Drosophila melanogaster: one gene and its partners. The protein of the gene in region 2 interacts with the protein of the main gene of each other region in a pairwise test. Each region holds a gene or a part of one and is shown on either strand. Other genes may lie near its edges.

Region 1 (3,018 bases), on a different chromosome or scaffold from region 2:
ACAACAGCAATTGGCGAACAATAAAATACACTTAGCAGCCGAAGAAGAAGCGAATAACCACTAAATTGCTGTTAACAATTCTTGGAGTGCCCAGCCAAGCCAGTCAGCAAAGGCAAATACATTTTTCTGTCTGCCAAAAGTGGGTCAGCAAGAAAAGCCTCCCCCTTTCCATTTTATAGAAGTCTTCAATGCCAGCCGCAAGCGTTTTCATCAGCCAACTCTGCAAACGCAAACTCTTTCTCTCGCGTGTTAGTTAGATTTTAACTACCGTTTAAGAAGTATCGTACGGCTACTCTCAACTCTTCGCAACTGAACTCCACTCCGCTCCGCTCCTCTTGGCGTCCATTAATCACCTTCAGTCGGTGCAAAGAGTCAATTCACCAGCGAACAGCCTGCCAAATGTGTTCCACGCAACTGCTCAATCTCCGTATCTTTTGGGTGCCTGGAACGAGGCGCACATTTGGCTTTTATCACTCGATCCGCACCAAATAAACTACAAAGCCCCTAACGCGAAAACAGAGAAAAACGTATTTGTGTTCCAGATTTTGGCGCATTTACGGCTTGCGTAAAAATTTCCGATCGGACCAGACCGAAGAAAATTCTGTTGCAGCTCTTAATGGGTTGTTGGATACAAAAACTCGGCGGGACATGAGAAAATAATCCGCACACACTGCAAATACTGCGAATAAATCACAGAAGTTGTAAACTCATTTGAAGTGCATTTGATTTGAGACAAGTAAGTCAAATATGATTCCTTTTACAAGCATAAACATTTTATTTATTCCCGTGCGATATCGATTGAGCTCTTTCCAAAATTTAACCGTGGTAGATGTGGTGTCCATAGGTGGGAACAGCGTAGGACTTCAGCACAGGGACATGCTGAACCACTGGGACATTCTTCACCACCGGAACGTGCTGCACCACTGGAACAGATTTCACCACGGGCACCACTTGGGCTACAGGAACCACACCGTAGGAGGGCTCAATGTAACCAGGAGCAGCAAAAGCCATTGCTACCAGGGCGAAGATCACAGCGATCTAAGGAGATATTTTGTAATATGAAAAATCACAAGGATTTACTTTATAATTTCGTGAACTTACAATGCGGAACATTTTGGTATTTTCTTAGTAATTTACAAACTTGACTTGGAGATATTGTCACTTGGATGCTTGTAGGACGACTGGTGATGCTGACCAATGGATCAGTTACTTTATATAGCCAAAAATCACTTCAATAACAACTTCTAAATGGGCAAACGTGTTTGGCCATAATTCTTCTGTTTAATTGAGAGAATGGATTTATCAGTTGACCCAAAGGTGCCTCATATAGGTCTTTTTTTGTGGACATGACCTTGGTTCTTGGTGATCATCACAAACGCGTGAAGACGATCGATATAATGACAATGGTCTTGGAAGTAAACAATAATAAGCACACGGATCTAAAAACAGCAAACAATTGAGAAGTCATTGAATGGGGATTATGTCCAAAGGTTAAGCAATAACGACCGATAACGGGAAGTTCGCCGCTGGAGATGGTTTCATACCAAATAGAATGCGCATTATTCGAAGATACCAAATTTAAGATAATTAAACTGGTTTGGCGCGTGGCGTTCGAACAGAAGTCATTTGTGGGCTATTTTCGGCTGAGGTGCTAACTACTATATATAATGATTCCACGGATGGTCAATCAACAACAGTCGTCCGGCTAACACAAACGTTCGATAACCACAAGTTAAAGTTTTTAACTCACAACAAAATACCAAAATGTTCCGCATTGTAAGTTCACGAAATTATAAAGTAAATCCTTAGGATTTTTCATATTACAAAATATCTCCTTAGATCGCTGTAATCTTCGCCCTGGTAGCAATGGCTTTTGCTGCTCCTGGTTACATTGAGCCCTCCTACGGAGTGGTTCCTGTGGCCCAGGTGGTGCCCGTGGTGAAATCTGTTCCGGTGGTGAAGCATGTTCCAGTGGTGCAGCATGTTCCGGTGGTGAAAAATGTCCCAGTGGTTCAGCATGTCCCTGTGCTGAAGTCCTACGCTGTTCCCACCTATGGACACCACATCTACCATGGTTAAATTATTGTAGCACAACCCCATTAGAAATTGACCCGACATAAATAAATTGCCAACCAAATCGAACTTATCTTTATTTTCTGGTATAGAGCGAGGATAAACTTTTGGGTCATGCCATCGGGACTGGCTTAATTTTTATACTTACAATTAAATGATGCATGTTTTTTCCTACATCAAGGAAATAATTCTCGTAAAAATTACGTACCCAACACCCTTTCGTGGTCAGCACTTTCCATTTTACACATTTTATAGCAACTAAAGTTGTCCGCAGACCCCAGTGGTTTCCATGGCTGACTGATTATTTTATGGGACATTTTGTAAAATTTAATTTCACCTCGCTCATTTTGTTATTTGCGAATAGTCACACATAAAGTCGTTAACAAGGCGGCAAGCTTCCAGGGGAAATTTCTTCATTAATCAGCGGAATAAAGTGACGCCTCTAAACTGCAGCTGCATCTTCTCCACCTCCCCCCCTCCCACCACCCCTTACCCGACAGACGTTGCCATTAAAACCCAATCCCAGCTCGTCTTTAATTTGAGCCAATTAAAGTGGCGACAAAGCAAAGCCTTACAGCCCGCTTCAAACACTCTGAGCCAGCCGCCTTTCCCTTTGGCTTTTTCCCCGGTTGCGGTTCGATCTCGTGTCGATGATGAACCTGAATGGATCGTACATTAATTTTTCATTGTTTTTTATTTGGGGCTTTATTCGGGTTATTAAATCGCTGGCTAGAAAAACTCTCAAGCGATTTGGTAAAACAAAAAAAAAAAATAACATCGAAATAAGCAGACAAAAATATAAAAATAAATTGTGTTCGAAAGTCAATTTTGTGAACAGGCTTTTTGGGCCTTTTTTGTGGCAGGTTTTGTTTTTTCTATTGCCAAAAGATTTATTGTTAGCGTTTTCTTCTTAATTTTCCCCACATTTCATTTCGGTTTCGATTT
Region 2 (4,942 bases):
ATTCACCTGGTCATTCGTTTGTTAATTTAATTCAATTTTTATGCGTGTAGGCACGTTCAAAGGTTAGTTGGTAGACTTGGTTACACTTAAGCGATAGTTGCATGTGTCATTCTCATTCAGTGGTAATGATCCAGTAGTAAATAATGTACAGTACGATCTTAGGTCTAAAATCTAGTAGCTTCGGGCCAGTTCTGCATGCATCACCGCCAGCAGCTGCCTTTCCATGTCGCTCAGCGATCCAAATTCGGCTCCAAAGTCGCGCAGCAGGTGCTTTAGATCGCACATTTTACGCTCCACCCAGGCGCACGTAATCTCCGCCAGCGCATACTGCTGCTGTTCGGGCACAAATGCTCCCGGACGCTCCGCGGATCCACCGTCGTCCGCCGAACAGGGGAGCGACTCGAACTGCGCCAGGTTGTAGTAGTACTCGATCAGCTTGATGTGGGCGGGTGACTGGCGTGCGGGAGGCAGGTTCAAATGGACTAGGAGCAGCAGACGCAGCACCTCAACGCGCCGCAATAGTTCACCGTACATGCGAGCACCGCGTCGCTCGTAAACATTGTCCACAATGTCGTCGTAATGCTGCAGTGCACTGCGAAAATCGCCGCGCTGGCCACTCGTTTCGGCGCTGATTTCCAGGTCATGGATCTGATGGGTGGGCGAGGCAAAGCTGCTGGTGCTGTCCAGCTGCCGCTGCAGCTGCTTCAACTCGCGCAGAATGGCCGCCTTGAAGACGCAACCGTCCACCGCTCGATCCGCCGCACGGTGATAGCAGTGCACCGCTCCCTCCCGAAATCCCGAGTGGCGGGTGCGCAGATGCAGTCGCCCGGACTCGTTGTGCGCCGCTAGGAAGGATCTAGCTGCCCGCAGATAGGCCTCCGATTCGCGCTGCGGTGCGCCGCCGTAGGACTCGCACTTGGCATAGCCAATGTGGCACATGGCCGCATACTGCTGTATGCCCGACTCCTCGAAGCTGTAGGCCAGTCGCTGGAAGTCCGCCTGCACATCGACCACGCTGGGCGCAAAGCGTCTGGGAATTAGAGAAACAGTGGAGTATTGAGATTGTATTCCGTGATTCGAGGGCTTCTAATACACCCGTATTTCTAAACATAGTTTGAAGATGGAGGAAAAGCGATAAATTGGGCAATGACTTGCTAATCAAACGCAATGATCTGCAAGGTATCTGATTGCCCATACTTGGGCCGTAGCTACTCACTTGAAGAAGCCGGCCCGCTCGAACTTCTTGATCTTGCTGGAGGCCCTTAGATATTGCTCGATCAGGTTTTTGGGGTACTGATACTGCTCCAGTTGGTGGTGCTCATGGCCCGGAGCCGTCGATGGCGCGCCGCTGGAGGATCCGCCGCCGCCCAGACTGCCGCCGCGGAGTTTATCCATGCTACAGCATGTGGTTCTCCGCGCAGGTTACTTCGGGTCGCGCTACTTGTGCATTATATTTTCGCCTGTATTGTGTTTTTATTATTATTTGTGAAAACTTTATCGCGGGCGGTGTGACCATGCCATGTCCCGCTGAGGAATATACTAGCTTAGAAGCGGTATGCAAAGATCCATTTACACTGCTCAACGGCAGCGAAAATGTATCAAAACGGCACGCAAATCGCTGTCAAAACTCATTTAACAAGCAACTACACTAGTTGCCCGGTTTTGGTAGCTCATGTTAATAATCTAGTGACCTTTAATTTGTATTTGATACATTTAAAATGATATACTAATTACTAAATTTCTATTGGAAGAGAAAAATAGAAACTAGAAACAGATGTGTGTCAGTGGAAACCATCTGAAATCTTGTTGGCCAGTATAGTTCGGTATTTTCTCTCAAGTCTTTGTTTGTTTTTTCCAAAGGTCACGCTGCGGTCACACCAGATACAGCAAATTCTGTTTCCACTGTTTTTTCTGCAGCACTTTTGGCATTTAATTGGATAAAAACAAGCCGCAAAGCTAGAAGATCGCAAAATAAACGAAAAACCAAAGTGGCGAAACAAAATGACAATTGCCGAGCACGATAACGTCTTCATCTTTGTGCCAAATCTGATCGGTGAGTGGCTGTTTGTAGGTTTTATTCCGTGCTCCAGCTAGGTAAACAAATCGCATGTTCGATTTATGCGGCGCAATAATAGCGATTCTAGTGTTCCCTAATTGGATTAATAGGGGCTGTTTGGCAGCTAGTGCAATGCGAAGCGCAAGTTCAGCGATAAGAGCCGCTTCGTCCAACCCAATTGAGTCACCTCCAATGATTCTATACGTATGATGCACGCATATGTGCTGATTTATATTGATCTTTTCCAGGCTACGCCCGCATCGTTCTGGCCCTGATCGCCTTCTGGTTCATGTCCACCAACTATGTGATCTCCGGCTGGTGTTATGTAACCTCCGCCCTCCTGGACGCCGTCGATGGACAAGCAGCCCGAGCCTTTAACCAAAGTAAGCATTAACCATGCGATCGCCCTTGATATCGAAATGCCAGCTCATGCCAGCTATATGTCTGTATTTGATTTGTGCGCGCACTTTGGCCGCTAGCGCATTGCAAACACCTGTCTCCTCCGTACTGGTTATCTGCCGATATTGTGGAATTGTAGGCACGCCCTAAAGAGCCCGATATGGTCACGGCTATCCAGCCAATCGATGGATGACGTGGGGCTGAAGAATAGATAGAAAGCATGGCTAATATTGCCTTGGAACTATGCAATGTAGTTAGCAATATAGGAGGAAAAACATTAGGATAGAAGCCTTCTAAGAAACAAATTGCAGATACCATGCAATGTTTATGATATAGTAGTGTAGCAAACTGAAAGGTATGATCTTGCACTTGGATTTGTTGTATGCTAGCAGGATGATTTAGAGTCTTAACGAAAGGGTACTCCAACCAAAATATGTATATCAAAATATTAGTAATTATCATATGGTACTATGGAATCTTTACTAAATACTCGATTACCTCACAGGCACTCGCTTTGGCGCCATGCTAGACCAGTTGACCGATCGCTGCGGCACCACCGGCCTACTGGTCACCCTGGCCTACTTCTATCCCCGGTACATGTTCTGGTTCCAGCTGTCCATCGCCATCGACGTGGCCTGTCACTGGCTCTTCATGCAGACGTAAGTGGGGCAGGGGAAAGAGCAAGATGCTGGACGTCTGGACTGTCAAGGAATGGAAGGAAACTAATGACTCGTGGCTTTGTCTTTTTGCAGGAGCGTTGTGGTCGGACGCAGCTCGCACAAGGTGAATGACAACTTCATAATGCGATTGTATTACCAGAAGGACATACTCACATTCATGTGCTGCGTCAATGAGCTGTTTTACGTGTGCTTGTACCTCTTGCATTTCACCTACGGCCCGCTGAGTGAGTATACGCACACGCACATGCTTTGCATTTCAGCTGGCGAAACGTATCTAATCCGTTGATGGACTTCAATTGCAGTATTCGGCGCATCGCTCTTCAAGATACTCGCCTTCCTCACGGGTCCCTTTGCCGTGCTCAAGGCCCTGATCTCGGTGATGCACGCCTACGTGGCGGGCATCGATCTGGCGGCCGTGGATGTACGCGAGCGGCAGGAGCGGCGCCAGAAGTCGGAGCCGGTGAGCGGCAAGAAAGTGGAGTGAAAATGGGATGCGATCCGGGATCAATCTTCCAGCGACAGTTCTATCAACAGAAAGTACTAAATGAAACAACTCTTGATTCCAAGCTAAAAAAACAGAATTTTGAAGACGAATTGCGATCAGATGAAATATGGGCATTAGGCAACCAAATAGGCCGTAGTAGGAATTTAATTTATTTTTAATGCGCTATTGCAATGATTGTTGATTTTATTTGATATATTTTAGTTAGACGGGTGGTGAAATCACCCGACAATTTGTATTTAATAGATTTTTGAATTGAAATTTAAGCGATTCGTTCCAGTCAGTAGCTGTTGCATATTTATTTTGCCTTTAGTTAGCGTAGTTTACACGCTATATATGTATATATATGCCAATGCGTAAATGCAGGCCGATATACTATGAATGAGTGTCTATTTCCAGGATTTATCTCACTGTGCACGTTTTGGGTTTGACTAACCACCTTGTCCCAGCAACTCTCTCAATGTAACTAATGTATTTCTAATCGTAAGTTAAAGAATGTAATTGGAGACCTGCATGAAATATATACGACAAATGGATGTTAGATGTATTTGAAACATTAACATATATGTACCATACATGCCAGGCCTGGCAGACTTAGTCAAAATTGAAAAGTGAAAATAAATATATGTGGTTCTATGCGCTAAATTTTAGTTTAACCTTTTGGGCCATCGATTTTTGAAATTTGCGCCACACAAAATTTATCGTTAGACATCAAAATTATCGTTGGCACATCCCTGGCTGGCCGCTCAGCTGCGCCGCCTGTGCAGCCCTGATTTTTACACAACATAAACATTCGATTTTGGAGGAGCTCTTTTTTCGAGAGAATACCAGGTCGTTGGACACGGGAGATGCTCTGATTAGGGGCGCATGTGGAGCAGCCAACGCCGGAATCGCCGACATGAAAATCCTCTCCCGTCTGGGTCGCCTGATGCGCTACACGGTGGCCTACGCGGCAATCACACACTGCACCTTCGAGTACATTGGCGATTTCGTCCTGGTAAGGCGTCTAGGATGAAGTTCCTGGGCGGGTATACTTGCCCAACATGTGCCAGCATCACATAGTTCGTGTGAATGCATTAAGGTACTCTCCACTTGTTTTTCCACCTTGTGTAACTTCCACTTGATATCCTTCTTTTGCGGAAAAGTACGTACACTCACATTAATGCAACCATTTCCAGTGCAAAGGACCCTCCATGGAGCCCACCCTGCACTCGGACAACGTTCTTCTCACCGAGCGCTTGTCGAAACACTGGCGAACCTACCAGCCCGGCGACATAGTCATCGCCATATCGCCCATCAAAGCCG
Region 3 (5,434 bases), on a different chromosome or scaffold from region 2:
TGTCGCTTTCGCTTTCGCCAACGCTCTTAATTATAGCGACGTCACATGCACAAAGCCACGCTCTCTCTCTCTCACACACACACACACACACAAACACACGAAAACAAACAAACTCACACACGTCAGTTGATAATTTTCTGGTTTTTTATTGCATACTCGGCGGCGCAGGGACTCCTTTGGCATTTGGCGCGTCTGTTTGGCTTAGCTGCCAACTGGAGGACTCAGGATTGTCAGCCGGGCAGACAATAAATCAATCAGCTGTGCCAACATCCAATTCCTGCGCAGAAAATGCTCCAATGCTCCAATGACACCCCCCACCACCCCGCGCCATATATTCCCAGCCCGGCATATTGGTAGTCGCGTGTGGCGCGGTGTGTGAGCGCTATTAACAAAAAGGTCAACTTGGTCGCTACAATTGAAGCCCGAAAGCCGAGAGCCAAGCCAAAAGGAAAGGAATGGAATGGAGAGGAAAGGAAAGGGCTAGGAGAAAATGGGAAATACCGGGGCAAAGGCTTGTGTGTGCTGCGCTTCAGCTTTTACACCGGTGCACACTGCTCAAAAGTCAACATTTGACCTGGAACTAATGACTAAACTGGCAAGCCAACATGGCGGATGAGCAATAATGCCAGTCCAAGAGCCATATAAAGCCTATCAGTGTGTGTCTCAGCAACTGCAACTTAAAATAAGCTCATTATTAAATTATATGTTTTATGCGTATTAGGAGTAAAATTTTCAAAAAAATTTTAAATTAGGAAATGACCTGAAATTTAAACCCAGCACGTCATGATCTATAATTTAGTGTTGCTTGAAGTTAAATAGAGTTTGTGGTGAACAATAAGAAATTTTTCCCAGTGCAGAGTGTATATTTGTACAAGTGCGAGCACTGGTGTGTGTAAGTGAAACGTTTCGGAGCGAAAGAGATGGCGAAAGAAAGGGCGGGCGCATGCTATTATGTCCTGGCGGTAAAACAAAAAACGAAAGGCTAGAGAAAATAAGGGAAAACACTTGACTCCAATTTCGGCGAGATTTTCCACAGGTATGCTGGGAACAGAAGATGTGGGGAAGGTCGCTGATGAAAGGAGTGCAGTGAAGAGTTGGGGGAAATGCGGGAAACAGGCTGCCAAGGATGATGATAAAAAATTAAGCGCGTAATGGGAGGCTAAAGTTGGCTTTAATTGAGTACTACTTTCAGCTTAAAGCTCGCGAGGATGGGAGCTGATAAAAAAATAATTGCAACAATGAAAGTTCAACATGGTATCATTTCAGATTCTCTGCAGGATTTTTCTTTTCCGCAATGCGCAGTTGAGTGTGAAAAGTTTGAAAGTTAAAATACAGTCTCCGAAAAATATAAACTTTTTAGCACAGTAAAATAGTAAAAAAATACATTGACAAGATAAATAGTTTATGCTTCTCGCATTTAACAAGCCAATTAGATTACCTCAGTTCGAATGGCTAAGTTACCTGTAAACATTTCATTCCAAATTTTATTCTTATGACCGTGTAAAGAAAGAATTTTTGATTGGACTCAAGTTTTTATGGGATAATCAAAATAATAGCTTTCGATGTGTGTACACTTCAGCTTATTATGATCTCCATTATGAGAAAACTTCACGTTGTTCTTTAGACTTTTTGATGGATTTCTTCGTGCTGTTTTTATTTATGCGTAAACTCATTCCATTACGATGAAATTTTGTTTATTTACAGATTGCTAATGAGCACAAACAACTTTCAGCGATGAAGAAATTTCCATTTATAATCGGTCAAACTTTGCGGCATTTTGCTCGACTTCGTGCGAGTCCACAAATACGGGGAGCGAGTCGTGTTAATATATATATATATGTAAACATATATAGAATCGGTGCATATATCTAGATGTACTGCCACATGGTGGAGCAATGCACGCAATGCGGCGACTGTGGTTGCGACGGATTTAAATTTAAACGAACATTTACGTTTTCCGGGCATTTTGCCGCCGATCCGATTTTCATTTGACCTGTTCTAGTTGCGGTGAATGTGCGGATATCGGTATAAATATGCATATATACATACATATACGATTCTTTGTGGAGAACGATTTGTTTATAATAACCTACTACGTGCGACTCGCTACGGTTCGAATGGCCAAATAAAACAGGGGAAATTGAGAGATGAAAAAGATTTACAGCAGTGCAAGGGCGAGGTATTAACCCACACAAAAATTCAAAAACACACAGGTTAATTGTGAATTCGCTGCCTGTTTTCGCAAAACAAACGAAACAGGAGCATTAAAATTACTTTTTAATTGCCACAGCTGTGCTGCTTTTCAGGTTGAGTTGCTGGCTGACAGAGTCCATTAGGCCATTTTCCATTCCATTTCATTTGCGTTTTCATCGCACATTTTCCGTTCCCTTTTTTCCCAGTTCCGATTCTGATTTGCGCAATTTAATTGGCTTAAAATTCAGTTGCCTCCTTGAAAACAGCCGCAAAGGACTCAGGACTCAGAAGTTTTCACTGTTAATTGAGCGACTGTCACAGAATCACAAGCACACCTACTTATGTACACACAGAAAAGAAATTCGGAGATCCGATGGCTTTCACATTTGTAAGAACTGTGGCACGAAGTTATTTTTAAGCCCAAGCATTGATTGTTTCAAAATAGTTTTCAAATCATTCGAGAATAACCAGACAAGTATTCGGCCAAGTCGTAAATCGATAGAGAACAATAAAAGTGCTATAAGGCCATTTAATAGTTTTTCTAGATCAATAATAATATTAATTACAATGTAACTTTGAGTATAAACTAGCTTCCAACTATCTGTTATATATGAAAAAGAAAAATATTGCTTCAGATAAATGATAACTGTGTGGAAATTCTCTCGTCCAGTGGACAAACAAAAGTTTTAACAGCTCGCGGCACGTTTGAAATCTGCAAAACACACACAATTCAGCCCTCAAAGGCTATGTACTGTCACACAATTTACAAGTTCTTTTTTTTTTTTATTTACTTTTTGCCGTCGGACTCTGGTTAACCGGCTCGGCCACCTGCTAGTGACACGCCTCTCCGGCTCGCCGCCTCCTCCGTGCGGGTCGCGAGCCTGGATACAATACTGATTTTGGTTTTGAATCCGATGTGGATGCTGATGCGAGTGCGGATGAGGATTCGGAATCCCAGTCCCTGGCCCGATCCCTACTCGCAATCGGAGGTGGAAAGGCGTGCATCCACTGATAACGGCGAAAACAAACACTTCACTGCGCTCAGTTCTCAGTTGACTGTTGTCTGCACTCGGCTCTCTGCCCGATTAACTGTGCTTTGGAGCCACTGCCTTTCGCTTGCTTTCACTTCCGTTTCCGGTTTCCGTTTGCTCGTTGTGCTGCGGCCGACGCGAAAACTACTACTGAAATGGACAGCGGAAAATGAAAACGAAACTGAACCGAGAAAGCCGAAAGAGCGAAAGCTTTCCACGACAGCGGTGCACGGATTGGAGATGCTTATTTGACTATTTTATGGCTAATTCGAAGGGGGTGTACTTGATGGAAATCTTTAATGAACTACAGACAAATTTGAAATTGTTGTTATATTTTTAAAAAAATTTTCTTTCTGATATGTCTTTTCTAATTCTAATAACTATTAATCACAAAAGTACCGCCAAAGTTCACCCCAACGTAGTTGAGTTTGAAATTATTCTATTGGACAATACTGCTATTAAATACTTTATACACATGAAAATTGTGTTGTCTGAAAGGAAAACCATTAATCAAGCCAATTCCCCACCCAATTTATTTCCCCAACTGGGAGAGCTCAAACCATTTTCGGCATATCCAACTTGTAGGATTGTGGACACAAAAGCTTTCCCCCTTTCCCAAGAATTTCCCAGCTGAAGAGGGGCCGAGCAGCTTTTCTTTAACTAACAATTTCTTGCGTTAGGTCGTGTTCGCAGTGCCAAGGAGACGATAGCCGCCAACTACTTGTGGGGATTTTGGGGGATGACACAATGCTTGGAGACCCAACTGACTGGCTGGCTGTCTGACTGGCTGATTGACTGACTGACAGAGTGACACAGTGACTGGCAGACCCATATTCAGCGAAAAGCGCATTGACAGAGTTCAAGTGCGACGGTGTGGCTGTTGCTCTATTGTTGGCCAGGAAACGAGCGCCGGTTTCGGCGGAAATTTCAATGTTGTTTTTATCAAGCGCTTAGCTTTCATCACAGACCCCTCCCTTGTCACTCGAGGGTTTAAATTAAAAGCATACTTAGCGGCGCTTAATTACTTATTCATGGACGCTCGCGGCTCCGTTCAGATTGGAATAGACCCAGAGCCTGGTGTTGTTAGGCTCTCACTCTCACTTCCCATGGATGCCATGGAGTTTGCTGTCGCTGGCAGGACTCCCTAACGATTTGCCCCAGGTTGTTTGATCGAATTTCAGTTCCTCCAATTTGTCTGTCTGCCAGCTAAAATTGTAATCCCGGGTCTCAGTGCATATATTTTGTACAACACTCAACGAGGATGGACGAAGCCAACAAGGAGGATGTGAAGCGAGCCTCTCTTTCCAACAGCACGGTGACAATAAGGCCACGTCTCATCTACGGACTGCGTTCGGATGTCATTGGCAACATCCACTTCAACCTGACCAAGGAGGTCATCTATCCGGTGGAGGGAGTTCTAGCGTTCCACGACTACGTCCAAAACAAGCAAAGGTTTCTCAGGTGGGTACTCCACGTTTTATAACTGTTAAGGAATATCTTAACCCTTGTAATCCTGCAGGCTGCCGGAGGATACGCGACCCGAGGTGATATCCATAAGTTCGCATCGCAAACTACTGGCGGTGGTGGAAAGGCACTCGAAAAAGTAAGAGCTTCATTTCAGATGCTTTATATTTTATATAACTCAACCTAACATAGTTCAAATGAATGGACTCTTTTTAACTTTCTATTAGTGGTCGGTATATATCCATTTATGAGTTGGCCACCCTGAAGAAGCGACGTCACTTGGAGCTGCCGAGCAACCATCGCAATGCGGAGATACAGCAGATGATCTTTACCAATGACTCCAGATCGGTGGCCCTGATCACCCGCCCGCCGGAGGAAACCCTTATTATGTTGGTGCTGGACAAGACCAGTACAGTGATCGAGGGCAGGGCCACAATCCCGGGATCTCATGGAGGCGCCGAGTGCATCGCTGGCAATCCAAACGATTGCAATTTTATGGCGGTCGGAGGCGAGCGCACGTTGTTGCTGATGAGTAAATCGGAGCGAGGATTTAGTATCAGCAATAATCTGAAGGTGAAATATAGGGTCACCTCGATGGCTTTTCTATCGCTGGACCTGCTGATGATTGGTACGTCGGATGATCAGTTGATCCTGGTGGAGAACGGCGAGCAGAAGTTGGCTCAAAAGGCGAGCGATGCGGACACTGTGGACTTGATGATCGATCAGGAGGTGTTCGATCGGGACAA

What was found. Proteins that work in one complex are often made in the same cells at the same time.
Region 1: the proteins of Pis (region 2) and CG34268 interact in a two-hybrid assay, tested with the Drosophila melanogaster proteins (one large-scale study listed by BioGRID).
Region 3: the proteins of Pis (region 2) and CG33143 interact in a two-hybrid assay, tested with the Drosophila melanogaster proteins (one large-scale study listed by BioGRID).

The regions. Positions count from the first base shown.
Region 1 is NT_037436.4:499,261-502,278, forward strand, and holds CG34268 (uncharacterized protein), read left to right. Parts: upstream 1-1,704; 5' UTR 1,705-1,764; coding exon 1,765-1,776; intron 1,777-1,839; coding exon 1,840-2,079; 3' UTR 2,080-2,140; downstream 2,141-3,018. Other genes in the region: CG34267 (uncharacterized protein), read right to left, coding at 817-1,038, 1,102-1,113.
Region 2 is NC_004354.4:15,700,681-15,705,622, reverse strand, and holds Pis (phosphatidylinositol synthase), read left to right. Parts: upstream 1-1,852; 5' UTR 1,853-2,001; coding exon 2,002-2,053; intron 2,054-2,304; coding exon 2,305-2,439; intron 2,440-2,535; coding exon of another isoform or gene 2,536-2,594; exon of another isoform or gene 2,595-2,810; intron 2,811-2,960; coding exon 2,961-3,114; intron 3,115-3,207; coding exon 3,208-3,359; intron 3,360-3,437; coding exon 3,438-3,619; 3' UTR 3,620-4,172; downstream 4,173-4,942. Other genes in the region: Hap40 (Huntingtin-associated protein 40 kDa), read right to left, coding at 172-1,030, 1,217-1,395; CG9240 (uncharacterized protein), read left to right, coding at 4,536-4,634, 4,816-4,942. UniProt on the Drosophila melanogaster protein: Catalyzes the biosynthesis of phosphatidylinositol (PtdIns) as well as PtdIns:inositol exchange reaction. May thus act to reduce an excessive cellular PtdIns content.
Region 3 is NT_033778.4:22,612,272-22,617,705, reverse strand, and holds the start of CG33143 (uncharacterized protein), read right to left. Parts: upstream 3,379-5,434; 5' UTR 2,985-3,378; intron 1-2,984. Other genes in the region: tous (testes of unusual size), read left to right, coding at 4,486-4,685, 4,744-4,827, 4,916-5,434.